Linked DNA regions of Cricetulus griseus. The protein of the gene in region 7 interacts with the protein of the main gene of each other region in a biochemical or structural test. Links are inferred from orthologs where the notes say so. Each region holds a gene or a part of one and is shown on either strand. Other genes may lie near its edges.

Evidence for each region.
Region 1: the proteins of histone lysine acetyltransferase CREBBP (region 7) and Nfe2l2 form a complex in vitro, tested with the Homo sapiens proteins (2 studies listed by BioGRID, with this or other methods). The link is inferred for Cricetulus griseus from reciprocal best matches to the Homo sapiens genes CREBBP and NFE2L2.
Region 2: of the proteins of histone lysine acetyltransferase CREBBP (region 7) and Mapk1, one has a biochemical effect on the other in vitro, tested with the Homo sapiens proteins (2 studies listed by BioGRID). The link is inferred for Cricetulus griseus from reciprocal best matches to the Homo sapiens genes CREBBP and MAPK1.
Region 3: of the proteins of histone lysine acetyltransferase CREBBP (region 7) and histone H3.1, one has a biochemical effect on the other in vitro, tested with the Homo sapiens proteins (2 studies listed by BioGRID). The link is inferred for Cricetulus griseus from reciprocal best matches to the Homo sapiens genes CREBBP and H3-4.
Region 4: the proteins of histone lysine acetyltransferase CREBBP (region 7) and transcription factor AP-1 form a complex in vitro, tested with the Homo sapiens proteins (4 studies listed by BioGRID, with this or other methods). The link is inferred for Cricetulus griseus from reciprocal best matches to the Homo sapiens genes CREBBP and JUN.
Region 5: the proteins of histone lysine acetyltransferase CREBBP (region 7) and Sumo1 form a complex in vitro, tested with the Homo sapiens proteins (2 studies listed by BioGRID, with this or other methods). The link is inferred for Cricetulus griseus from reciprocal best matches to the Homo sapiens genes CREBBP and SUMO1.
Region 6: the proteins of histone lysine acetyltransferase CREBBP (region 7) and Klf4 form a complex in vitro, tested with the Homo sapiens proteins (2 studies listed by BioGRID, with this or other methods). The link is inferred for Cricetulus griseus from reciprocal best matches to the Homo sapiens genes CREBBP and KLF4.

What each region holds. Positions count from the first base shown.
Region 1 is NC_048599.1:99,368,283-99,372,257, reverse strand, and holds the start of Nfe2l2 (nuclear factor erythroid 2-related factor 2), read right to left. Parts: upstream 2,801-3,975; 5' UTR 2,605-2,800; coding exon 2,560-2,604; intron 1,680-2,559; exon of another isoform or gene 1,529-1,679; intron 1-1,528.
Region 2 is NC_048597.1:72,356,860-72,360,947, reverse strand, and holds the start of Mapk1 (mitogen-activated protein kinase 1), read left to right. Parts: upstream 1-1,288; 5' UTR 1,289-1,503; coding exon 1,504-1,616; intron 1,617-4,088. UniProt on the Homo sapiens protein: Serine/threonine kinase which acts as an essential component of the MAP kinase signal transduction pathway. MAPK1/ERK2 and MAPK3/ERK1 are the 2 MAPKs which play an important role in the MAPK/ERK cascade.
Region 3 is NC_048600.1:73,028,993-73,031,193, reverse strand, and holds histone H3.1, read right to left. Parts: upstream 942-2,201; coding exon 531-941; 3' UTR 501-530; downstream 1-500. UniProt on the Homo sapiens protein: Core component of nucleosome. Nucleosomes wrap and compact DNA into chromatin, limiting DNA accessibility to the cellular machineries which require DNA as a template.
Region 4 is NC_048595.1:53,810,955-53,815,215, reverse strand, and holds the start of transcription factor AP-1, read right to left. Parts: upstream 2,801-4,261; 5' UTR 1,932-2,800; intron 1,815-1,931; 5' UTR 1,711-1,814; coding exon 706-1,710; 3' UTR 1-705. UniProt on the Homo sapiens protein: Transcription factor that recognizes and binds to the AP-1 consensus motif 5'-TGA[GC]TCA-3'.
Region 5 is NC_048595.1:413,930,895-413,934,884, forward strand, and holds the start of Sumo1 (small ubiquitin-related modifier 1), read right to left. Parts: upstream 2,801-3,990; 5' UTR 2,656-2,800; coding exon 2,644-2,655; intron 1-2,643. UniProt on the Homo sapiens protein: Ubiquitin-like protein that can be covalently attached to proteins as a monomer or a lysine-linked polymer.
Region 6 is NC_048595.1:88,331,035-88,335,161, reverse strand, and holds the start of Klf4 (Krueppel-like factor 4), read right to left. Parts: upstream 2,801-4,127; 5' UTR 2,324-2,800; coding exon 2,319-2,323; intron 2,202-2,318; coding exon 2,081-2,201; intron 1,443-2,080; coding exon 458-1,442; intron 345-457; coding exon 180-344; intron 1-179. UniProt on the Homo sapiens protein: Transcription factor; can act both as activator and as repressor. Binds the 5'-CACCC-3' core sequence. Binds to the promoter region of its own gene and can activate its own transcription.
Region 7 is NC_048600.1:42,539,473-42,542,972, forward strand, and holds part of histone lysine acetyltransferase CREBBP, read left to right. Parts: coding exon 1-30; intron 31-503; coding exon 504-650; intron 651-1,288; coding exon 1,289-1,406; intron 1,407-2,064; coding exon 2,065-2,236; intron 2,237-2,678; coding exon 2,679-2,723; intron 2,724-3,500. UniProt on the Homo sapiens protein: Acetylates histones, giving a specific tag for transcriptional activation. Mediates acetylation of histone H3 at 'Lys-18' and 'Lys-27' (H3K18ac and H3K27ac, respectively).

The DNA.
Region 1 (3,975 bases), on a different chromosome or scaffold from region 7:
TAAAGGTAACTGCTCAAGTGCTCCTTTCTCCTGCAGCTTTGCTTAGCATAACTCATCCTAAATAAAAATGAACATTAAGAAGAACCACGTATCTGGCTTTCAACTCTCACCGGTAATCCTAAAAGAGGATTGTTCCCCCAGCATTGTTTTTAAGGACCCAAGTTAATATAAATGAAATTTCAAAATGGCCCTAATTATTTTTTTTAGTCATTTATTTTTTTTTATTCTTATGCATTGTGTTTTTGCCTGCATGGATGTTTGTATGAGGGTGTTGGATACCCTGGAACTGGAGTTACAGATAGTTGGGAGCTGTTGTGTGGGTGCTGGGAATTGAACCTGGGTCCTCTGGATGAACAGACAGTGCTCTTAACCACTGAGCCATCTCCCCAGCCACTGCCTTAGTTATTTTTAAGATAGAAAGACTGATGTGGTCGTGTATTTATCAATCCACATTTGGTTTCTGTAACGTCTCAGAGATGTTCCATATATCTAAAAAGTCAAGTTGGTCTTGCTTAACATTCATTCCAGAGGAAAGGCTTGTCCACTTTCTCTGTGTCTAACGTTTAAAAATAAGCTTATCTGTCTCGTTCAATATCAACTTCATCTTCAATATCAACTTCATCAACTTTTATCTTTCCAAGACACCACTGAAAAGAGTAATGGATGGCTTTCCCCCTGAGATGAAGAGTCATTGAGCAGTTAAAACCATTATCCTACAACAACACAACCATTTGCTCAAATCTGTAACTCAGTTCAAATCCTTCTGGACTACCAAACAATGATTTTAAGATGAATTATAATTTTTAATTCTGTTTTTCAAAGTTGCTGTCTGGAAATAACAAGAAATGTTGTTGGCAAAGAAAACTTTCACATGGAGGAGAAAGCAGTACATCTGCCATTTTTGTACATGAAATGTTATGCTACATGCTACACAGAAAAAAGAAGAAAACTTTAAAATCAAAGTTCGTTTGTATCATGTATCCTGTGGCCAGACAAGCATTCCTTTTGATTACTAATGAAGAACAGAAGATCAGAAAGTACAGTTTACTTATTCATCCTAATGAAAACCAGCTACAACCCCAATCATTTCTGGGGGAAAGTTCAAGAGAGGGAGTAGAATTAATGCACTGTCAGTAACTAAAAGCTTACATCAGGCCCTTCAGGGTCAGCGATTTAACATTTAAATTAACTTTCTGTTTACCAAGTTACACATTCCCTTTTCCTAAAAATCCAAGTACAACACAATGGCAACATAAGCATTTACTTCTTTAAAAGTGCCAGAAGTATGACCAAAAACTGATTTTCACTTACATAACAATCTTCAAAACTTATCAACAAGGGGTTATGAAACGAAAGCGTCCCATCCTCTCTGTTCATAAAAGTTCACAATGTGCTAAGAAATCGAGGAGGCAAAAAATCTCAAACACTAAGGAAAAATGTACTAAAGACACAAGGGAGGGATAATAGCTAAACGCAAAAACTTCATCGTCAATATAAAAAGCAACAAATTCTAATCTACAACTCTTACCCTTGACGGCAAGGAACAGAATATCCTGCTTTACACATTCTGGGACTGCAATTCTGCAATGCTAAATCCAAAGACAAAGCCGCCCAGGGGAAAATAACAATTGCGCAACAGATCAACAGCTCCAACTTGTCCCTTGGCCCCAGAGCAGCGAGGTTTGCACGCTATAAAGCAGGAAAGGGCCAACCGAGGGCCTCCGTGACTGCCAACCGGCCGCTGTCACCCACCCGGAGGCCACAGCCACGCACACATACACAGTGTGGGGGCCCCGCGAGTCACGACGCTCAGAACACACAGCCCCGCGTGCGGCTGCCTAGGGCCTCTGAGCCCGCCCAGGTCCTCAAGTCCTCGCCTGATGTGAGGCCAATGCCGGATTCCCGGGCTGAGGAAGCGCGAGGAGCCCTGCCCGTCGGGGCACCTGAGCACGAGGGTCACCCGGTGACTTTCTCTTCCGCCCCCAGAGGGCTGGGCTTTTCTAGATCAAGCCGGACTGGCATGATCCTACAGACGACGAGCTCTCGGGCTGAGAAAACCACAGACGGCCAAGGGGGCTTGGCAGCCGCGCTGGAGGTCGCGGCCAGGGGAGGGAAGCAGTCTCCGGGGCGGTCGCCGAGGAGACCTCAGCTCCCCCGAGCACGGCCCCGTGACTAGGCACATTTTTACCGGCACCGAATCTGGGAAACTACGCAAGCCCGGAAAGGGCCGGGCTGCGCCGGCGAAGACAGCCAGCGTCCGCCCCCTCCCGCCGCCTCTGAGCATCCGACCCAGCGAGGTGGTGTTGATGCCCTCTGGCCCCACCAAGCCCGAGCTTCCTCCACACCCCAACCCCAGTGCCCCCGGGGACCTCAGGCTCGGTCCCTACTCTCATCGCTGCCCCAACACCCCCGTTGCCTTCCCGGCCCGGCGGGGGGCAGCTCCCAGGTCGGGCTGTCGCAGTCTGGGTTCAGACTGTCCCTCCCTCCCGGGACCACTGTCCCCTCGAGCTCCCGTCTGCTTCCTGGCACAGCCGATAAGCCCAAGGGCCGGGGCAGCACCTGCTGGGACTGTAGTCCTGGCGGCGGCAACTCCAAGTCCATCATGCTGAGGACGAACGCTGCACTGAGGATCCCCGACGGCGACGCTACGTTGGCTGCCGAGGTGCGGCGGCGGCAGTGACTCGACGGAGCTGCCGGGATCCAGCAGACAGCCGGCTCGCTTGAGTGTCCGGCCAGTCTCAGTCCGCTCCGCCCCCCGCCCCCTGGGGGCGGAACAAGGACCTGGGGAAGCGACAGGAACTTAAGGGCGGAGTGAGGGCTGGAGCGAGAGGCAAGGGCTAGAGTCCCCGGCGAGGGCCCGGGGGCGGGGCAAGGGACTGGGGGCGGGGCAAGAGCCTGGAGTCGTGCAAGGGTCCTGGGCAGGGAAAGGGTCCGAAGACATGGCGAAGGGCGGAGCGAGAGTAAAGGTACTTAGAGGGGCCGGAGGGGCGGGGCAAGGGCCAGAGGGCTTGCCCTAGGGCGGGGCAAGGGTAAAGGGACAAGGCTGGGACCAGAGGGGCGGGTCAAGGGCCTGAGGGCTTCCGGCAAGAGTTGCTGTATTCCCCTCGGCCTCCGCTGATGACCATCCTCTAGCGGTGGTCCGGGCGTGGCCGTGGTCCCACGGGGGCGGAGTGCGGGCGAGAGGCCCTGGGCTGCCCGAGTCCTCGCTGGGACAGCTCTCCCTGGCTAGAGATTAGCAGCTGTTTGCTGAAGGTCGCTGGGGCTCTGGCGCTTTGAAGCAGTTTAAACAGTTGGAGCAAACACACCGGGAGCCCATCCCGGGCGCTGCTATCGGAGCTGCGCCTCCCTGATTCGGATCCGCAGAACCTTGCCCGCTTTATCTCGCCCCACCGGCTGACTGTGGCGCCAGCCGGGGGTGGGGGCTCTGGGCAGGGACTGTGCAGACAGCCAACTGCTCTCTGTCCCCCTGTCCTGCTCATGCTGGTGCGGGACAGCTCTGCCCCAGGGAGATGCGTCCACATTGCAAACTTAAGTGAACGCCCTCTATTTCTCCCACGTGCCCGCATCTAGCGGCCAGAGCTGAAGGAGTGTGTGGGTCGTTCACCCAGAACACACAGGAAGCAGCCACACAACAAATAGCATCCTTCACAGGTGTGGATCCTCATGATACAGTTCCCCCTCTTTTTTACGATTTTATTTTGGAACTTTGAGATAGGGTCTCATGAAACCTGGGTGGTTTTGAGCTCCTTATCCTCCTGCCTCCACCTCCCAAAGGCTGGTATATAGCAGTGGTTCTCAACCTTCCTAATGCTACTACCATTTAGTACAGTTTCTCTTGTGACCCTAAACCATAAAATTACTTTTGCTGCTACTTTATAACTGTAATTTTGCTGTTATGTATCACAATGTAAATATTTGATATCTGAAATGTGACCTCTGTGAAAGTTGATCCATCCCCAAAGGGGTCACGACCCA
Region 2 (4,088 bases), on a different chromosome or scaffold from region 7:
GATCTCATTTGCTGGCCACAGAGGAGTCTGCGTCCAGGGACGACAGGGTAGTAATGCCTGAGAGACAAACTGTGTCATTCACTATCTTACCATTGCTCTCCTTGGCACCCACCTACTTTAAGATTACAATTTTCTTCGGGTTCATTCGTGTTTCTGACTGGTTCTGACCCACAACTTGTTCAGATGTTTCAGCCATTCTAACTGTGCTATATTTCAGTACGCCCATCTGGGTTTCTGCTCATCTGTACCAAGCTGGTGTTGTGTGACAAAACACTTCTTGAGAAGACACAATACACACCTAGTCACTACAGATGAGTATGGATACCAGCAAAGTTGAAGAGTGTCCTCCAGCTATTTAAGTTGGTCTAGACCTCTTCCAGGCAGGAGGCAGGAGGCTGATTTCTGCTTCTTCTAAGCAGTTTGGCTGAGTCTTCTTTGCAGCTCCGTGGAGTTCATCGAACAGGGATTCTCAACTTTTATTGCTTACTCCAGCAAGGAGTAACCCGGTGAATCTGGTCAGTTTCAAGGACTCCCAAAGTTCCTTTGTGCCGTTTACTTTCCTGTTTAAGGAGTTTCTCTGCAGGATAGAATGTTTCAATCTCGCAGGAAACGGTTACACAACACCTGGGTCCAGTCCCTGGATTTCAGTCTTTCTCCAGCGTCCTCACCCACAACTCTGTAAACCTTCCCTCCAGTTTTTAATTGTTCACAGCACTTAGTTAAGTGAGCATCGTATTTGTCTGTCTCTTCACCCTAGAAGGGAGAAGTATTCAGCAAATCTTCTTGAACAAACCTCTAATTAGGGGATTCAATGCCTTGTGTTTTGGTTTCCACTTATGTCTCACACTTTTTAGGTGTGAAAATATCTTTCTGAGTCTGGGTCATGCTTTTTGGTTTCTGTCCCAGTTTGGCAGTCTAAGTTCATTAGTGTGAGGGCCACGGATTCCCAGAGGCCTGTCTCAGGGGTCCATTGCTTGGTGTATGCTGAGTCCTCCGGTCTCACGCCAAGTGCCTGGTTCCACATGAGTTCGTCCTGGGCACCGCACAGCGGTCGGACACACTGTGGGGTCGTTACGCCCAGGTTTCCACCAGGCTTTCAAGAGCCACCAAACAAACTGAACGCCCGGTTCTCCAAACGCACGTGACGGCCCTCCCCCGCAGCCGCAGTGCTCCTGCCTCAGTTCGCTGCTTCCGCCGGCCCTCGAGACCCCGCCCAGCGCCGCGAGGAGCCAATCAGCGCTCACGCCCTTGACTCCGCCCCAGCGCCCCTCGACGCCAGCCCCTCCCTCCTCCCGCTCGCTGCCCGCCCGTCAGGCAGGAAGGCAGGCAGTGGTTCACTGGCGGTCAGTTCTTTGCTCTGTGTTGTCTTCGTTCCGCGTTCCCGGTCGCGGGCGGCGGCGGCTACACGGGTGGCAGCGCGGTCCCTGCGGGAGGCGCTGCACAAGCCGAGCGGCGGCCGCGAAGCGTCGAGCCCAGCGCGGCGGCGGCGACTAGGCAGCCAACATGGCGGCGGCGGCGGCGGCGGGCCCGGAGATGGTCCGCGGGCAGGTGTTCGACGTGGGGCCGCGCTACACCAACCTCTCGTACATCGGAGAGGGCGCCTACGGCATGGTTTGGTGAGTGTCTACTCCGGTTTGCAAGCTCGGCCTCACCCGGTCACCCCTGCCTGTGCCCCTGGCTGTTCTGGACGCAGCCGCGGCCCTTCCCGCGCCTTGGCCTCGCGTTCTGCAGCGACCTGGACCCCTGACTCCTCTTTGGTCCACAATCACGGAGCCCGTCGAGGCTTAGTTGTTGCTGGGGTGCTTCCTGGGCTGCCCCTCGTTTGCCGTTGGAGGGGCACCCCACACTGAGGTCAGGACCCGAGGACTTGGTCTCAAGCTCGTACTTTGGAGTCTTCTCCCTTGGGACGGGAACGGAAGTGCACCGTGTCCCCTAATTTATGGCATTATAGCCGCCTTCTTTGACATTAGATCGTAAAACCAGGAATTCCATCACAGGCTTGTCGGTGGTGGTGGAGGCGGCCGTGGTTTTGCAAGCGAGAATCCTCGGCTTGTGTGCTGAACACCAAAATATTTTTCTTCCCTTCCTTGTGTATACGTGAACAGCTTTCACAAAATATCTTCAGTGGAGCTAATGATGCGTTCCAACTTAGGCTTTCTAAAAAGCATTAATGACACCAGCGTTGGTTGTGAGGATATTTAAATCTTGAAGTTTCAAAATGGATGTAAATATCGTTGCGTTGCAGGAAGGATAAGCTAGCATCACTCTTAAAGAGTTATTAAGATGTATTTGGAATTGGGCCTAATTTGACTTTAACTCCTTCGTTACCATCGAGTATTTTCAGACCTAATTTTGCATGGTCACTTGTAGGATTTCTCACCTGATTGTGGAATGATGAAGTGTGTTGTTTTTACTGGAACAAGTATTTGTGTTTTGTACTGAAAACTTGTGGGAGTAGGTTTTCTTACCCCTAAATTTGTGTCTTTTGTGCTAAATGAAGAAAACTAATTTATTGAAGGTCTCTGAGATACTCTGCTATCCGAATAGTTTAATTTTGTCTGGATAGCCATCTTGAGGAAAAAGATACCCTCTTTCAGATAAGGTATAGAAAGGAAGTCCTTTCCCAAGGGCGAAGGACTAGAACCAGGCTCTGATTATAGACAGATCCTGTTTCAAATGCTGCAGCTCTTCAGTCATTACACATGCCTTTCTTTAATGTTAGTAATAATCTTGGAACTTTAGCATATTTTCCTGATGAGCAAGTCTATTTCAGAAATGCATTCAAATTTGAATGGTCATAATTTTAGAAATGGTAGGAAAGACGTGTTTTCCACCAACTGTCTTAACTAGATAGAATAATTAACGTTCTTTTTAAAAAGACTCACAGTGTACAACTATGAAGATAAAGGTGAACTGGTCTTGGGAGTCAAAACAAATTAAATTAGGTCACAATTAAAGACTTATAAAGGAGTACTTAAAAAAGTACTTCCCCTTCACATCTGTCTTGCACATATTGCTGCTCTTGTACCTGCATGCCAGTAACTCTCTTATTATACTGAAGATTGCCAGTTATAGTTTCATTTATTTTAAAAACTAGCTTATTTTAAATAGGCACAAAAATTGAGGATATGTCATTTGGACTCCCCACAACCACCTCTGTTTGATAAGATGGATTATTTAGATTCTGGTGCTATTGCTGCTGTGGAGTTACTTAACCTTTGAAGTTTACAGCTGCTGTGCAAAGTTCTCTTTAAAATTCAAATTTTAGGGGCTGGGGAGATGACTCAGCAGTGAAGAGCAGTTGCAGCTCTGGGTTCTAGTCCCAGTACCCACCTGCAAGCTCACAACTGTCAGTAACTCCAGTTCTAGAGGATCAGATGTTCCTTAGACACAAATTTGAGGGAAATACCCATATTTGTGAAATAAATTAAATTTAAAAATACAAATTTTAATTTTAAGAAAAGTGTAGACCAGGTGGTGGTGGCGGCATACACCTCTAATCCCAGGAGGCGAGGCAGAGGCATGTGTTCTGTGAGTTCAGGCCAGCCTGGTCTACAAAGGGAGTGCCAGGACAGGCTCCAAAGCTACACAGAGAAACTCTGTCTCAAAAAAAAAAAACAAACAAATAAAAAATGCAGGTACAATTGGAATTTGAATCCTGGATCCATCCTTTTATCTCCAGGTTGATAACATCTTAGTATTTGTAGAATATTTTTAATTATAGGTCATTAGCATTTGATCATTAGCTGGGTTTATGGAGAACATCTTGACCTTAAATGCCTGCTTGAATAGTTGTGATCTTTTAAAAAGCTAGGCTTAACAATCAAGACCATCTTCAGATCCCAGCATCTACATTAGGTGACCCTCTGACTTCCAAGGGCATCTGCACATATGTGGTTCAAAGAAAACTCATATGTACATAAACATACTAAAAAAATAATTTTAAAAACCATGAAAAAATGTTTAAGGGATTTTCAGCTATCCTTTAGCAGGGTTTTCCCTAAAGTAGTTCATTGGAAATTGTGCCTATTTTGGTTAGATTCCCCTTCCTTATGTAGAAGACAAAAAGATAAGATTGGGTGGTGGGT
Region 3 (2,201 bases), about 30 Mb from region 7:
TTTTAATTTTAAATTTTATTATTGTTTGCAGGTGCACACTTGCTAGTACGCCTGTGTATGCATATGTGGGTGCCTTCAGCTCAGTGTGCTTTCCATTGTAGGAGAGAGGGCTAACTTTTACACACAAGAGTAGCCAACCTTTTAAACCAAAGTGCAAGGTTTTCGGGACTTTCAATGGGAGTAAACTGGAGTTAATGCAGACTTGTCATCGGCACACCATAGTTGTGGTAGTGTATTTGTGGCCTGTGGAAGCTGGACTCTACCTGGCAGGGCAGTCAGCACTACAACCTTGTTACAAAGGTTCAGGCGAAGACCTACTTAACGCAGGAGGGACCTGCTGATCAAACAGCTTAAACGGGTATGGGTCCGCTGTAAAGCCGGACTAGCTCGCTGGACTTCAAAGTCAACTCCGCACGAAGTGGACAGGGGATCAAATCTACAAGGCTACAACCACTTTCTCAGACTGGGTGGGTGGCTCTGAAAAGAGCCTTTGGGTTCAAAGTAGTGCAAAGATGAGGAGCCTATGGCGTCTAGGCCCGCTCTCCGCGAATGCGACGAGCCAGCTGGATGTCTTTCGGCATGATGGTCACCCGCTTGGCGTGGATGGCACACAGGTTGGTGTCTTCGAATAGCCCCACGAGGTAGGACTCGCAGGCCTCCTGCAGCGCCATCACGGCCGAACTCTGGAAGCGCAGGTCAGTCTTGAAATCCTGGGCGATCTCACGCACTAGGCGCTGGAACGGCAGCTTGCGAATCAGCAGCTCGGTGGACTTCTGGTAGCGGCGGATCTCACGAAGCGCCACGGTTCCTGGGTGGTAGCGATGCGGCTTCTTCACACCGCCAGTAGCCGGTGCACTCTTGCGGGCCACCTTCGTGGCCAGCTGCTTCCGTGGAGCCTTGCCTCCTGTCGACTTGCGTGCTGTTTGCTTGGTGCGTGCCATCGTCCCGAAGTTCTTTTCTTCTCTGCTTCTCCTCGAGTGTGCAAGGTGCCCTGTGGGCTCGGCTTTTATAGAGCCCACTGCATTCCTATTGGTTGCGCACCTGGTGGCGTGTTTGAGTACTCCACTCTGATTGGTCCATTGGGCGTTCCTCTTTACATCCTGCCCCTTATATGCTCTCCGGGTGGCAGTGACACCAGAGCTATTAGTAGAGACTAATCTCGGTAGGCCCGCAGCATGGATTGTAGAAAAACTCGAGTCATTCTCAGAATTTTTTTTTTTTCAACCCTGCTTCAACTGTCAAGTCACAAAGAACCTTCTAGCATCTCTGGGTGTTTCCTTTATATGGCAACAGGGCATAATTTTCCTGAGTTCTGTGATATTAGAAAAATAGTCTCGGTTTAAGGACTTCTGGGACAAGGGCTGGAGGTGGTTCAGTAAAATGAACTGTCTGGTCTTCCAGAGGACCACGGTTCAGAACCCAGCACCCACACTATGGCTTGCTTCCACCTTAATTCATCTCAGGGGATCTGACATCTTCTGCTGGCACCAGGCATGCAAGTAGTACACACAGTATACATGCAAGCCAAACACCTACACACACACACACACACACACACACACACACACACACACACACAATTAAAATAAAAAAAATGTAAGTTAGAAATTATTTAAAGATTTTAATTTAAAAGTGTTTTAAATTAACAATATTTCAAAATTAAAAATATTGTAGCTTTAAATTTTAAAAATATTTTAAAAATAAAATAAATATTTTTAAATTAAAAAAAAAATGCCCCCACTGTGTCCTTGCTGGCCCATGACAAAGGCTAGACATAAGCACTACAGGTTCCCAACTTTGCAACACCAGCAATTAGCTGAACTTCTGGCTCTCACTGATCAATCTCAACAGATGCAGTCTTTGTTTTATTTTGTACCCCTGCCCCAACTTTGGACCAGCTTCCCCCTTCCCTTAAAGACCCTTGTGATGGTTTCAATGAGAACAGCCCTAATAGGCTCACACATTTGTATGCTTCCTCCCTAGTTGTTATAGCTGTTTGAGAAAGGATTAGGAGGTGTGATCTTTAAAGAAAGTGTGATGGGGTTGGGCTTTGAAGTTTCCAAAGTCCATACTAGGCATTCCTGCTTGCTCTGTCTCCTGCCTGCTAATCTATATGTAAGAAAGCAAGCTCTCATCGACTGTGGCAGCCCCCTGCTTGCCTGCCTGCCAGGCACCATGCTTCCTGCCTCGATGATCATGGA
Region 4 (4,261 bases), on a different chromosome or scaffold from region 7:
ATCCTTTCTGGAAATTTTCAGAAACAAAACATAAAAAAATTATATACTTTATTACAAATGGTAAACTCAGAATGCTTCAAATCTCTTATTTACAAACAACACTGGGCAGGACACCCAAACAAACAAACATGGAATAACTTACAAAGGCAGGAAGCTGTTTATTGACAGTAATCAGCTTTCATCAAATTAAAAAAAATATATATGTACATACACAGTTGAGGAAGGCAGGCCAGGGGAGTTCATCTGCAGTCTAGCCTGGCACTCACGAGCCTCCCTCCCCTCCCTAGCCCTCCCTGCTTTGTGTTCTTAAGGAGCACTACAGAAGCAATCTACAGTCTCTATTGCAGTTTGTAACCCCTCCCCGCCCCCCTTTAATACTGAATGAGATCGAATGTTAGGTCCATGCAGTTCTTGGTCAATGTTAACGAAAAGTCCATCGTTCTGGTCTCGCGGGCACAGCCCGATCGCAAAGCCTAGCAGCCAACAGGCCGCCGCTCTCTGGCTCCATGCCAAGGCAAGGCGCGCCACGTCCTTCCCACTCCAGCACACTGGGGGCGCCGTCAGGACGCAACCCAGTCCATCTCGTGTACCCTTGGCTTCGGTACTCGGGCACTTTTTTTTTTCTTTCGCAACCAGTCAAGTTCTCAAGTCTGTCTTTGTTATATTTTTTTTCTTCCATTGCCCCTCAGCCCTGACACTCTGTCCTCAAAACGTTTGCAACTGCTGCGTTAGCATGAGTTGGCACCCACTGTTAACGTGGTTCATGACTTTCTGTTTAAGCTGTGCCACCTGTTCCCTGAGCATGTTGGCCGTGGACGCCAGCTCCGAGTTTTGCGCTTTCAAGGTTTTCACTTTTTCCTCTAGCCGGGCGATCCTCTCCAGCTTCCTTTTCCGGCACTTGGAGGCGGCGATGCGGTTCCTCATGCGCTTCCTCTCCGCCTTGATCCGCTCCTGAGACTCCATGTCGATGGGGGACAGGGGCGGGGTCTCTCCCGGCATCTCGGGCACGGTCTGGGGCTCTTCCTTCAGGGCCTGCAGCCGCGGGTGCTGCACCGGGATCTGTTGGGGCAAGTGGTGCGGCGGCTGAGGCGGCTGCTGCTGCTGCTGGGGCTGCGACGGAAAGGCCAGCCCGGCCGCGCCGTAGGAGGGCGCCCCGCCGCCGCTGCTCAGCGCACCCGGGTTGAAGTTGCTGAGGTTGGCGTAGACCGGAGGCTCGCTGTGTAGGCTGGCGCTGTAGCCGCCGCCGCCGCTGGCGCCGGCTACCGAAGCCACCGCGGGAGCCACCATGCCCGCACCGCTGACCGGCTGTGCCGCCGACGTGACGCTGGGCAGCGTGTTCTGGCTATGCAGTTCGGCCAGGGCGCGCACGAAGCCCTCGGCGAAACCCTCCTGCTCGTCGGTCACGTTCTTGGGGCACAAGAACTGGGTGGGGGTCGGCGTGGTGGTGATGTGCCCATTGCTGGACTGGATGATCAGGCGCTCCAGCTCGGGCGACGCCAGCTTGAGCAACCCAACGTCGGGCGACGTGAGGAGGTCCGAGTTCTTGGCGCGGAGATGCGGCTTCAGGTTGCCCACCGGGTCGGCCAGGTTCAAGGTCATGCTCTGTTTCAGGATCTTGGGGTTACTGTAGCCGTAGGCGCCGCTCTCGGACTGGAGGAACGAGGCGTTGAGGGCATCGTCGTAGAAGGTCGTTTCCATCTTTGCAGTCATAGAACGGTCGGTCAGTTCACGCGGGGTTCGTCTGGGCTGCGCGCTGAAGTTTCGGGGCCGCAACAGCGCGCTGGGAAGCGGGGGACACCCGCGCGTCCCTGCGTCTGTGACAAGTAAAGTTTGTCTAAGAGCGCGCGCTCCGGTCGGCAGTGCTCCCCCCCTGCGCCCTCCTCCCCAGCTCGCTCCAGGGAGCGCAGGGTTAAGGTACCGCCTTCACTCACGTTGGTCGGCTCCCGCGCGCTGCCGGGCTTTGAAAAGTCGCGGTCACTCGCGGAGCGCTCTCGGGTAGTAGCAGTTCCTCGGAGACCGCAGACCAGCTCCAGCGACAGCAGCTCTCCGGCGGCGCTGACCAGTCGTCACGGAACTGTCGGTGGAAGCCCGCGATCGGGCTCCGCCGCCCGGACTCCGACAACTGTCCCCTCCTCCGCTGTGAGGGGGAGGGGGACGCTCGGCGGCCGCGGCTAGCGCTCGCCCAACTTCAGCCGCCTGTGCGAGCGGGGCTGAGTGTGGGTTCTTCCTCTTCTCCCCTTTCTTTACGGTCTCGGGGGCAGCCTAAGGCGCTGAAAAGGTTTGCAAAAGTTCGCTCCGGGCCACTTGTTCCCGGTCTTCTGGGTCAGGAAAGTTGGTGGTCGGCGTAGCCGCTCGCCTATTTCCTCGCTCGGGCAGGCACCGCTCTCGATGCTGTCAGCAGCGCAGGGACTTGCGAGCTGCTTCTCCGGGGAAGGCGGGAGAAGGGACTCTCCAAGTGCTCCCCAAAACACCGGTGCTGGAGCCGCGGGCGCTGGGTCCAGGTAGTCGGTGAGAAAATGAAGACAAACAGATGAGCAGCCCGGAGTCCGCGGCCGTCCAGATTGGCCGAGAACGTCCGTCCTTCCTTCCGTCCGTCCCGCTCTCTCTCTCTGCCTCTCTGTCTGAGCGCGTTCCTGCCAGGACGTCTCTGCCACACTCAGTGCAACTCTGAGTCCTTCTTATCCAGCCTGAGCTCAACACTTATCTGCTACCAGTCAACCCCTAAAAATAGCCCATGATGTCACCCCAAGGCCTTCCCATTGGCCTGCGTCGCTCTCAGGGGGGCGGGCCCGCCTGTCGCCATGGAGACCTCACCCCAGAAGATTCTTCTCTGGGCCCGCGAAGGCTCACGGGATGAGGTAATGCTCCGCTGCGCTCCTACAGTTGGGCCCTTCTTTCTCCTCCTCCCTCCCCCTCCCGCGCGGCGCTCAGGCTTGTGTTCCCGGGTTCCCTCCCCGGCGCGTCTTTCCCGGCCCGCCCGGTGCATTGTGGGCTGACGTCTTGGTTTGGCTGTCTAGTGACGGAGGCTGCCGGGTCGGCTGGACCCTTGCGGCGTCTGTCGGAGGCGGGCTCAAGTTCAGGGTTGGGGACGGGGATCGAGACACCGGCATCCAGAAAGCTGGGGAGGCTCGCTAGTGGCCCCGGGCGGAAGGCCTGGGTGGGGAGTGGAGGTGGCGCGCGCGCACGCACGCACACACAAGCACACACACACACGCACACACACGCACACACGTGAAGGGGCTGAGCGACCTGAGCTCCAGCAGGCTCTGCACCCCCACACTTCCGGGAGGCAGCGGCGCGGGTGAAGATGGTTGTGTGCGCCCCGGGTGCGGGAGCGAGAAAGTGTGTTGAAGTTGAACGGGCTTGAGTGTCCCTCCCACGTTGAGCACGCGTGGAAGTTTATCTCTTGGTTAAGTTCCAGAGGAGGATCTGTGCCGCTGTGTGCTCTACCTGGAAGCTAGAGATTTGCGGTACTAAGAACCGACTCGTCAGGGTCCTCGGCACAACACTTCACCCTCTGGAGACATGCGGGGAGGGGCTCGCTTTGCCTCAGAGGGACGCGCTTTCTAGACGTGAAATAAAGGGGCGACCCCAGCATCCATGGGGGTCAAAATCAACATTTAAGGGTTCAAAACTCAGGAAACCCCAGCGATCGCCTTTGCCCGGGCGCGTCTCGCGCATACGCAACCCGCGCCCGCCCTACCCCCCACCCCCCAGCTCCTGATTTGCTTCTGGGAAAACAAGTCTTGAGAGCCGCCGCCGACTCGCCCGAAAGTCACGCTGCCTAAGCGGGAGTCCCTGGTAGAAGCAGGCTAAAGTCTCCCCTCCCCGCCCGCTGGTGGATTCATATCCTGTGTGGCCTCTAGGAAGCGCTAGACACATGTAAGTGGTTTTTGTCCTAGGGTTCTGCTATCCGACCTCCATTCTCCACCACTTAGGACTAAAGAGGTGGCAAGCTCGGTTCTCTCATGGCCTAACTGCAATCTCGGAACTTCTCTGAGCTTTATTGGCCTCATCTGCAAGTAGAGCGGATGAGGTCCACCGTACCGGGCTGCCAGGCGTTAGTATTACCTTCCTTGATGCCGGTACTAGAAGCTGGTCAACTCACTGTCCCCTTCCCTGCCGGCCTCGGCATTCCCCCTGGGCCTTCCCGCCGTACCAGGCTACAGGGCTGTGATTTGGCAGGAACTGGTGAGCAAGGTAGCAAAGGGCTGTTAGCCAGCTCTTCCCCAAGCCTCCTTACAGCCCAGGACTTGAGGTT
Region 5 (3,990 bases), on a different chromosome or scaffold from region 7:
AGTTTGAGGCCAGCCTGGTCTGCAGAGCAAGTTCCAGGACAATCAGGGCTACACATAGAAACTCTGTCTTAGAAAACAAAATAAATAACCCCTAAAATGTTAGCATACTTTTTCTTCAAGTCAAAATTTCTAAAAGTAGCACTATTTCACACTCTTGCATATTGCTTTACTGTGTAGCTCAATTAAAAAGACTTGTTTTGGGCCAGGTGGTGGTGGCACTTGGGAGGCAGAAGCAGGCAAAGTGAATTCCAGGACAGGCTCCAAAGCTACAAAGAAATCTTGTCTTGAAAACAAAACAAAACAAAACAAAAGTTTGTCAGGTATTGTGATGCACATCTTTCACTCCAGCACTCAGAGGACAGAAGCAAGCAGACCTCTGTGAGTTCCAGGCCAGCCTGAACTACAGAATGAGTTCCAGGGCAGCCAAGGTTACATAGTAAGACCCTATCTCAAAAACAAAAGAAAATCCCAGCACTTGGGAGGCAGAGGCCAGCCTGGTCTACAGAGCAGAGTTCCAGAACAACCTCCAAAGCAATACAGAGAAACCCTGGGGGGGGGGGGGGGGAACAACACGGGACAAAAAAAAAAATAAACAAATCACACATGGACTAGCCAGGTATGGCATAACTCTAATCCTCCCTACTCTGCAACGATAAGTGAGGGAGGAGTATTTATTCCGAGTTCAAAGACACCTTGTGCTACAGAATGAAGTTCAAGAACAACCTAGGCAACATAGTGAGACTAAGTATAAGAGATTCGGATCTAGCTCAGTGGTATAGTGCTTGTCTGGCATGTACACATGTGAGCCCTAAGTTCAGTGCCCAGTAACAAGTACTACACCCTAGTGTGGCTTCACAGATCCCCTGAAAACAGCCTGTGTCCTAGGTTCTCTTTTCCTTTCTCCATAATCTTTTTTTTTTTTTAATAGTTTTTCAAGACAGGGTTTCTCTGTGTAGCTTTAGAGCCTTTCTCCATATTCTTAAATGATGTGAGTTCAAACTAGAGCAAAAATAATTTTAAAATTTCTAACTGTATGTTGCCCTTCATCAGGCTGACATGCCTTCTAGTTCCTTCTAAAATAAAAGACTGATGAAACTAAGCATTTACAGCTCATCTTTCCTCCCTTACTCGGAACTATCTGGAGAGATATTCATAAACGAATTTCTATCCAGATTAAACAGAATTAATCCAGATTATTTATAAACAAATCTACCCCACAATTAATCTACATTATGGATAGGCTACAAAAATAGAACCATATTATCCAGGTGGTGGGGAAGCATGCCTTTGATCCCAGCACTCAGGAAGCAAAGGCTGGGAATCTCTGAGTTTGAGGCCAGCCTGGTCTACAGAGCAGTTCCAGGTTAGCCAAGGCTACACAGAGAATCCTGTATCGAAAAACAATTAAATAAATAAATAAATAAATAAATAAGATTAAATTAAAAGAAAACAGTTCAACTACACTGTGGTGCTGAATGAAAAGTTTACTGAATAATTATCATTATAGACAAACGTCAAAAAAAATTTGAAAATTCAGTCCTCTAAGCAAACAAAAGGAAAAACAGATAAAAATCCTATGTATTAAAACTAGCCACAAACGTGGTAAACAAAAATGGGATGAAGGAAATTAAGGTGGCAGTATTCCTAATTTGAATGCCAATACCATGCAAATTCTTAACATTAATACGGAGACACAGCATTTTACTATTAATTGGCAGCTTTCTGTAAACATTCTGCAGCTGTAAATATTCAGTTTTTCTATTTTCCTCAAAAATATCACCTGGAAGAGGGTGATATGGAGGTGCATATAACCAAGATACGTCGTTTACGTGTATAAAATTGACTATGTTAAAAAAAAGTGCCATTTTTGAAAATGTAACAATCATAAGCAGGCTAATGCCCAGATGAAATAAATGGCTTGTTGGTGGTGGTACTCTAACCTAGTTTCGTTTGTTTCTCGGTTATTCTGAACTCTCCTACAACTAGAGAGTTGATGGACCAATCCCGAGTAAGAAATGGAAAGTACAGAAAAAGAGCCGACCGATCCGCACCCCCCAGATGGAAAAAAAAAAAAAAAAAAAAGACGCAGAAGGGAGCAGAGGCGGACAGGCCCTCCCGGCAAACACAACGGAAAGCAGCGTCTTCTGGGTCCCAGGAACCTCAGGCCAGGCTTCCTCTCCGCCCCCCACTCCGAGACCAAGAACCCAAAGTGGAGTGGAGCAGCTTTTCGGGGCTACCTACCCTCCCAGTCAGGGATTCCCTCCCGTTACATAACTAGGCCTGGGGCCCTGTTTCTGCCATCGGTCCTCTGAAGGGAAACGGTCGATTTCTCTTAGGTTGCTCTCGGGGACAGAGGAGCGGGCCTGGGCCCCCGGCGGACCCGCGAGAAACCTGGGAGCCGTCGAGAGAGCCGCGGCGCGGGGCAGCGGGAGGGGGGCGCGGGGAAGGCGGCGGAGGGCGGGTGTTCCCCGGAGCCCCGCGGTCCCGGGCGGCTGGGCCCGACTCGGCCGGGCGCTCCGCGTCCCTCGCGGCCCCCTCCCCAGCAGCAGCCCCCTCCCCCAGCTGCGTCCCCTCCCCCGCGCCGCGGTCCCCGGGCCCAGCCAGCGGCCGACAGCTCTGAGCCCCGATGCCCTGGCCCAGTACCTGGTCAGACATGGTGATGGTGGCTTCGCCCGGGGGTCTCCGCACCACAGCGGCCTCCGGCAGGCAGAACCTCACTCTGAGGTTTACAAATCTGTCTCTTCCCCACAGCACAACACCGCGGCTGCAGGGACTTCCGCTACGTATTGCGTCACTTCCGCTGCGCGCAAAGGAGACTTTGGGAAGACGGGAAAAGGAGGCGGGAAAACGCCTTGGGGAAAGGCCTTGGGGCGTCTGACCTGTAAAATTGCTTGCCCGGAGCAAGAGAACGACTGTGTGTTCTGCCGCTGGGAGACCCGGCCGGCTGCCTCAGCCCCCTAGGGAGACCAGGGCATCGCCACCAGGCTGAATGTTTGGGGTCAAACCGACATCCTAGACTCCTCCCTCTCGGACACCTTGCGCGCTTCTCCGAGCTAAACCAAGTTCTTTTGTCTGCTCCCAACCTTACTAACCGTCCCTAAATATAGGGAATCGCCGGTATAATATTTTTATTACCTTCTCTTGTTTGCTGCCAGCACACTCATGACCTTGATTTAGGACCACAACGAAAAGACGACCCCTTAGAACACATATTTTTTGTTTTTATTTTTGTTTTTTGAGCAACCCTGGCCGCTCTAGAACTATGTAGATCAGCCTGGCCTCGAACTCACATAGAGTCTCCTACCTCTGCCCCCAGCTCTAGGACAGTTTTAAGAGCTGTAGATGACTAAAATGTTGAAAGTTTTTAAGTTTGAAGTTATAGGCAGAAGGAGCTACCTCCAACCTATTAACTATTTGCCTTTCGTCACAGAAAGACCTAAAATTCTTTGACTACCACGACCTTCTTGCACAGGCATTAAGTGTGGATTACGGATATATAAGTAAAAAGAGTAAAATTGAAAAAATAATTGTTGTGTGTGTTTTTCCGATACAGAGTTTCTCTGTGTAGCTTTGGAGCCTGTCCTGGAACTCTGTAGACTATTCTAGACTCTGCTGCGTTAGAGGCATGTGCCACCACGCCCCCCAACCCCCGGCAAAAATGAAAATTCTAAATAAATCAATAACCTTTCACAGTATAAGACGTTAGTAAAAGAATCTTTTCGGACTGGAGAGATGGCTCAGAGGTTAAGAGCACTGACTGCTCTTCCAGAAGTCCTGAGTTCAATTCCCAGCAACCACATGGTGGCTCACCATCCCTTATGAGATCTGGTGCCCTCTTCTGGTGTGCAGATATACATGGAAGCAGAATGTTGTATACATAATAAATAAAATCTATTAAAAAAAAAAGAATCTTTTCTTAGGGGCTGGAGAGATGGCTCAGGGTTTAAGAGCACTGACTGTTCTTCCAGAGGTTCTGAGTTCAATTCCCAG
Region 6 (4,127 bases), on a different chromosome or scaffold from region 7:
AGCATCCATCAAGCAAAAGGCTTCTGGGCAAAAACACAGGCGCCTGTTTGCTGCCCTTCTCTGTGATCCGGGAGATGGAGAAGAGATACACCCCAGCACCTAAGAAAGCCCTAAGGAATCCACAGCCAGCCTATGAGCAGACAGACACCAACCCTCCTCCACAGCGCTGGTCCCCTTACCTGTGTGAGTTCGAAGGTGTGCCTTGAGATGAGAACTCTTAGTATAGGTTTTGCCACAGCCTGCATAGTCACAAGTGTGGGTGGCAGTTCTTTTCCGGGGCCACGACCTTCTTCCCCTCTTTGGTTTGGGCTCCTCTGGCAGGCAGGAACCCGGTGGCATGAGCTCTAGGTAAAGAAAGTGGGGGGTCAACTTTCATTCAGGAGTCTCCGAGAACTTCCCCCCATCCCATAGGCAAAACTCCCCAGCAGCAGCTCTACCAATCCCTTCCCCCACTGACCTTGGTAATGGAGAGATGAGACTTGAGACGGCATCTGGTCTGGCAGGAAAGGAGGGTAGTTGGGCCCCGGATGGGGATGGAATCCTGGCGGAAGAGGCAGGCCAGGGTGACAGTCCCTGCTGTTCAGCAGTTCCTCGGGACTCATGGTAGGGGTAGTCCTGGTGGGGAGCTGCCGCCCCAGGGGGAAGTCGTGTGTGCTGGGCCGGTGCCCGTTGCTGAGCTGAGGTCCAGCGCCCAAATGGGTCTCTAGGGACCGGCCGACTGTGCAGGAGGAGACCGATTCTTGCTTAATCTTGGGGCACATGCGCGGCGGGCCACCGCTGTAGGGCGCCACCACCACAGGGTGGCTGCCGTCCGGGCTGCCTTTGCTAACACTGATGACCGACGGGCTGCTGTACTCGCTGCCAGGCGTGCTCAGCGAAGCCTTCAGCACAAACTTGCCCATCAGTCCGCCACCTGGCGGCTGAGGCTGCTGTGGCGGAATGTACACTGGGTCCAACTCCGGCCGCAGGAGCTCGGCCACGAAGCCGCCCGAGGGGCTCACGTCATTGATGTCCGCCAGGTTGAAGGGGGCCGTGGGAGGTGGCGCAGACTCTCGGGGGTAGAGGAGCCCTCCACCTGTGTTGCCGGCAGCCACGCCCGGGTCACCTCCAGCCCGGATCGGATAGTTGAAGCTGCAGGTGGAGGGCGCGCTGGCAGGGCCGCTGCTCGCCGGGGAGGACGAGGATGAAGCTGAGGCCGAGGAGGTCACAGTGGCGGCCACTGATTCCTGGTGGGATAGCGAGTTGGAGAGGATAAAGTCTAGGTCCAGGAGATCGTTGAACTCCTCGGTCTCCCTCCGGGGTAGGAGGGCCGGGTTGTTACTGCTGCAAGCTGCGCCAGCTCCACCACTCTCCAGGTCTGTGGCCACGGTGGCCGCCAGGTCGTATGGGCGGCCGGGAAGTGGAGGAAGTCGCTTCATGTGAGAGAGCTCCTCTCGCCAGCGCTGCCAAGGACAGAGAGGGAGAGAGAAGTGGTTAGTTGTAGCCCCTTGCTGCCACTCCTAGTATCGACTTGGATGAAGCACACCAGACTCCTGCCATAGGAACTGGACAGGGCAGGAAGGCAGCTCCAGGGACTCCAGGTGCCAGCGCTTCAATCTCAGCCAGCACCCGGGTAAGAGGCGGCCCGTCGGTTCCACCTCAAACTAGTGCGGCACCTCCGCCAGCCCAATTTTCTTCCCAGCCAGATCCTCGAGACGCTCCAGCCGCCCACGGAATTGGGACACTAGGACATTGTGGCTTTCTCCCATGCACCGTAGCCACCCGGTCTCCTACGCGCTAAGCTCACTCGTGCCCAGAGGGTCTCGAGACTTGGCCACCAGTGGTCCTCGTGCACCCACCCCACGGCCCGGACGCCGGGAGACCAGCGAGGAACCGCTGTGCGCCCCTGGCGGTACCGTAGTGCCGGGACCACACGCACTTAAGGCCGACTCAAGGGCCGAGGAGCCACCCTGGGAAGGCTGTAGAGTCTCAACGGAGGGCAATTCTTGTCCTAGCCAGGGGCTCCTGGTTGACCCCTGGATTCTGCCCATCCACCCCATAACATCCCCAGAAATCTACCGGGCACTAGCGCGACACTCACGTTATTTGGGGCACCTGCTGGACGCAGTGTCTTCTCCCTTCCCGCCGGGCCGGACGCGAACGTGGAGAAGGACGGGAGCAGAGCGTCGCTGACAGCCATGTCAGACTCGCCAGGTGGCTGCCTGCGGGCCGGGCGGGGCGCACAGGGACCAGGAGTCAGGGGCTACCCTGGCCACTGCTCCGAGGTTTCCCACCAATTCTCACCCTTTAATGTTCCCCTAGCCCAGCATCTTACCTACCTCATTAATGTGGGGGCCCAGAAGGTCCTCCGGAGTCCGAAGAAGAGAGAGGGGTACCCGAACCCCAAAGTCAACGAATATTAAAAACAACTTTAGAAACGAAACCCCAAACCAAAAACCCCAAATTCCCCGAGATCCTTCTTCTTTGGATTCAATATAAACCGGAGATGTCTTTTTAAAAAAGTTCCTTTGTATACAAAAATGCTTAGAAAAGTTGTAAACTCTTAAAAAAATAGACAATCAGCAAGGCAAATAAGTAGGTCCGATGGCCAGGCTGCACGCTCTTGGACTCAGCAGTGTCCCCCACCGTTGTCGCGGCCACTGTGGCTGTCGGCGGCTCAGGGGCTGTGGTCCGGGCGGTGGGCGGGCGGCGCCGCCAGGTGAGAATGGCCGCGGTGGCGCGGAACTGCGAGCTGGGCGGTGGCGCGGGGTGCGGAGTCCTGGGGGCTGCGCCGGGTGCACGCGGCCATGGGCGCGGGTCACGGGCGGGTGCTGGGTGGGGGGCCAGAGGGGCGGGGAGGGGCACTCGGCGGCTCCCGGTGCCGCCGCCGCCCGCCACCGCCTCTGCTCCCGCGCGCCCGGAGCCGCGCTCGCTCTCTCGGCCGGGGAACTGCCGGCGGCCGCCGCGCGCTTCTTACTTATAACTTCTCGCTCGCTCGCTCCCCCGCCTCCTCCCCGTGGCGCGCGGGGCTCCGCCGCCAGGCCCCGCCCCTTGCCTTTCTTCTCCCCGCCTTCCCGCAGCCCCCCTGCGCGTTGCCATGACAGCTAAATAAACAAACTCCGCGCACGTGGGGGCGGGGGCGAGGGAGGGGCACGGGCGGGGCGGGGCTGGGCCGTGACGCCAGCCGGGCAGCTGGCGGGCTGGAGCCGTGCTGACGCCGGCGGCGGTGGCGGCGACGGCGGCTTCGGCGCTAGGATCCCGGCGTTGCTTCAGTGGCACGGCGATTTAGGGTCCTCTGTGCGGCCACGGTCGAAAGCCCGGTCACGGGAACCCTTGCCAGGACAGGGTTGGTGGGGAGAGGGGCGGCGGCGAGCCCCTACTCCTGCTCGCGGTTGCTCCTGTCGACTCTGCTCACCCAAGAGCGCGATTATCCGCGTGACTCATCCAGCCCGCCCTCCCTCGCATACGCACGCAGAGGCCGGGCTGTGCCCGTGGGGCCTCTTGCAGGGTTGGGGATAGGGGCCGGGTGACGGGGGGCTAGGAGTCTCAGGAGCTCCGAGTAGGGTCTGCTATGGAGTAAAAAGGCCAGGATGGGCACGTAGTTACAGTTTTGATAATGGAAAGAGCAAGGAAGGGAGTTAAAGGATTCCAGATTTACTTGCGGGGAGTGGGAGCGCAAGGAGGAATCCAGGCGCAGAGATACCTTTCACCAGGAATCTCAAAGCTCTTTACAGGCTACGCACTCGCACTCTCAGTTTGAAGATGAGAAAAATGAGTCATAAAGAGGTGAAGCGGCGAGGTAAAGGTCACAGGACAACTCGCTCCCTTCAGTTTAGGTTTCGAGCTGGCCAGTCCACTCAGAGGGACTTTGCTGGGAGGTGACCGTGTGCTGGGAAATGGAGCACTGCGGTGGGACCCTAGTTCTCTAAAAGTGGCACCCAGGCCCTTGGCCCACCGGGAGGGGAAATGGCAATCGGTCTTTATTTCGGTCTTGTAACTCCTTTTCCCATCCCCACTACCTTCCTAGTGCGTGATCAGTAATTTTCCAGCCGGAATATGTTTTCGCCCTCATCTCTACAAACAGTACTTAAAAAAAAAAAGTAAAAAAAAAAAAAAAAACCCAAACCAAAACGTGAGTGTGGTGTTAA
Region 7 (3,500 bases):
AGCTCTTCCAACATCCTTGGGGGCCACCAAGTAAGACTAAAGATTCAAATAGATCGTTTCTGAAGAACAAGTGGGTATAAGAATGGGTGGGAATTATACAAAACTCCACATGTGGCAGAGAATGAATGGGAATGCATGCTATTTTTTCTTTTCTCATATTTTTAAAGAGACAGGAAAGAGCGGGAGGGAGGGGAGAAAGAGTCCCACAAGGGGGTGTTGGATTCCATGGAACTAGAGTGACCAGCTGTTGCGAGCCATTGATGTGGATATCTGATCCTCTGAAGGAGAAACAAGTACTCTTAACAGCAGAGCTGTCTGTCTAGCCTCTCTTTCTTTTTAAATGATAAATGTAAAACAGAACCAACTAAACAGATTGAATTCTGGTTGATATACATTACTTGTTTCTCTTAAACATTTTAAGTCACATATTGTTGAAGAAGGTTGAGTGTATTTGATTGATTCACTTGAGTAGCTGGATGAAGTGTTCTTATTTCCCTCTCTAGTCCACTAATGAATGATGGCTCGAACTCTGGTAACATTGGAAGCCTCAGCACGATACCTACTGCAGCACCTCCTTCCAGCACCGGTGTTCGAAAAAGCTGGCATGAACATGTGACTCAGGACCTGAGGAGCCATCTAGTGCATAAACTGTACGTTACCCTCATCAGTCAGATTCACATTTTGTGGCTGAGGCATTGTTGAATCTTTATGGGTGCATAGATGTTTGGTTTTGTTTTTTCCTTTGCATGTTGAATCCCAGTTTATAGCTCTTAGCTGCAAAGGGTCCATGCTTGTTTCAGAAACCAATCCCCACTGTAGAGAGTCCTAGGAAGGCTGAGTTTCCCAGACTCTGGGCCCTATTGTATGTTGGCATCAGACAGTTAGAGACGTGACCGGAAGCCTACCTATCCTCTTTGCTTTTGAGTTCACGTGTGTTCAGTTACTTAGGACTAGTTATAGAGTTCCCTAAAACTTGGGGGAAATTTGGCTCTGGTGAATATGTATGGTATGACCACATAGTTATTTTACATACAGAAAGTAATGTTTCAAACTACCTCTCCTAAGTTGAAGTGAATCAACTATAGATTCTTCCTTATTTTGATCTGTTTACAATGAACAGTTTCAAAATAGAGATTTGGAATCATACTTTTCATAAAATGATATAACACATTTGTGATTATTATGTAGGTTAAAGGTTGGTATTGTTTCCATTGTTCATGCACAAGGCAAAGAGAGTTCTGCTGTGACCACTTTGAAAGTAGGTTGATCTAGTATATTGTCCTTTCAGTGTCCAAGCCATCTTCCCAACTCCTGATCCTGCAGCTCTGAAGGATCGCCGAATGGAGAACCTGGTCGCCTATGCTAAGAAAGTAGAGGGGGACATGTATGAGTCTGCTAACAGCAGGGTAGGTTGTCAAGCAATTGTTGAGCCTATAGGTGGGAAATGATATTTGTCTAGTTCTTTACCCATAATTAGGAGAATCTGTGTGATATAGGAGACTCCTTACCTTGAGACTTTGAACAGACATGTCCCAGTAAGGATGAGATTCCTGTACAGCCCTTTTGTGAATGAAGCACAAATATCATAGGAGGACAGAGGATGCATTAGATAAAGTGTATGTACCCTTGGGTCATCTCTTTTCACCGTGGGTATTCTTTAGGATTCTTCTATTATATTATTGCCAGTATCAGTGAATACCCAAGAAAAAGCTCATTTGTGCAGAAAAAATAAACAACTGTATTTAGCACCTTCGACTGGTCGTATCTAGTAAAGTCACTAGTTCAGTAAAGTGGAAATTAAAGGGTATGCTGACATCACTAGGAATTTGGGGTGGTGATTCTTTGGTTTATTAAATGTGTCGAACCTTTGTTAATGTACTTAAAATGTGCTTAGCGGTATAGTGCCTTCTTAGGCCCTGAGTTTGATCCCCAGCAGCAAAATGTGAATGTGTGAATAAATGAATGAATAAAAAGAGTTCATTCATTGCTAGTTAGAACATAAAAATAAATGACTGGTTCTTAGATTTTTCAGTTCCTTAATATTGAATATTATTGCTTTTTTAGGATGAGTACTACCATTTATTAGCAGAGAAAATCTATAAAATACAAAAAGAACTAGAAGAAAAACGGAGGTCACGTTTACATAAGCAAGGCATCTTGGGTAACCAGCCAGCTTTGCCAGCTCCTGGGGCTCAGCCCCCTGTGATTCCACCAACTCAGTCTGTGAGACCTCCAAGTAAGGACTGTATTTCTTTTTACCAGCTCTTAGCCTGCCTGCTTAGTTTTCCTTCTGTCTTTGGGGTATATGTCTAAGAATGTACAATTGTGTTCTCCAAAAGTCTGTGCTTTGGAAGCTTTCTGTATGGCAGTGTCCTGTGAGGACATTGAGCCTCCCTCATAGGAAGATTTCTTTTTGTTTTCTTCATTTTTGGTTGTTTGAGACAGGTTTGCTCTATAGAGCACTGACTGTCCTAGAACTCACTCTGTAGACCAGGCTGGCTTTGAATTTAGAGATCTACCTACCTCTGCCTCTCAAGTGCTGGTATTAAAAGGTGTGTGCTACCACTGCTTGGTATAGGAAGGCCTCTTAAAGGCTTTGCTGCTAAGTTATTGGGTTTTTTTAACTTGTTTATAACTCCCACCCCCCTTTCAATTAATTAATTTTTTCTCCCTTGTAGATGGGCCACTGCCTCTGCCAGTGAATCGAATGCAGGTTTCTCAAGGTATTTATTGTCAGCCGTGTTTTACTTTAACTTTCAATGTTAGCAAATTATCCCCCATTTTCCCTTTTGTTTTTTTTTTTTTTTTTTTTTTTTTTTTTTTTTTTTTTTTTTTTGCACTTTCCATTCTTTTCTGATAAGAACATAGTCCACTAAATAATTCCACTAAATAATGTTAGCCTGTTTTTTAAAATTTGGAAATTAGAGGAGCTTTTTCCAAAGAGGTCAGAAATAGGATTTTGGACTAGCAACACCCCCCCCCCCAGAAAACAAAAACAAACAGGGGAGACATTATTAGGAGATTATAAAAAGAGCCATATTTTAGGAAGGAAAAGGCCTTTCTGAATATTCAGCCTGAGAGTCTGTAACCCAGTTGGTTTCAAGTACTTGGGGACTCAGAAGGTACAGTGCTGCTTCAGGCCATCAGGATTGAAGTTGCTGAGTAATTATCAACCACAGGAGGCTGTGTGCATAGCTCCATGCCTGGCTGGAGTAGTGATAGCTGTCTAAACCATTAATCGCTCAATTCAAGATTCTGTGGTCATTTGGAGTAGATAAGGCTTCAGGGCTAGGGGGTATTTGTACGCTCTTTAGATCTTGACATACTGAGACTTGAATATCAGGGTATTGCTCCAAGTTGTGAAATAAAGTGGGGACATTATCCAGATGGTAAAGTAAGGCATTGCAGTTTGAGAGGGACAGGTAAGTGATTTGAAGTTGTAACAGTGTTATTGAACACTGAAACAGACACTGAATAAACTTGCCAAGAACTTGTTTGGA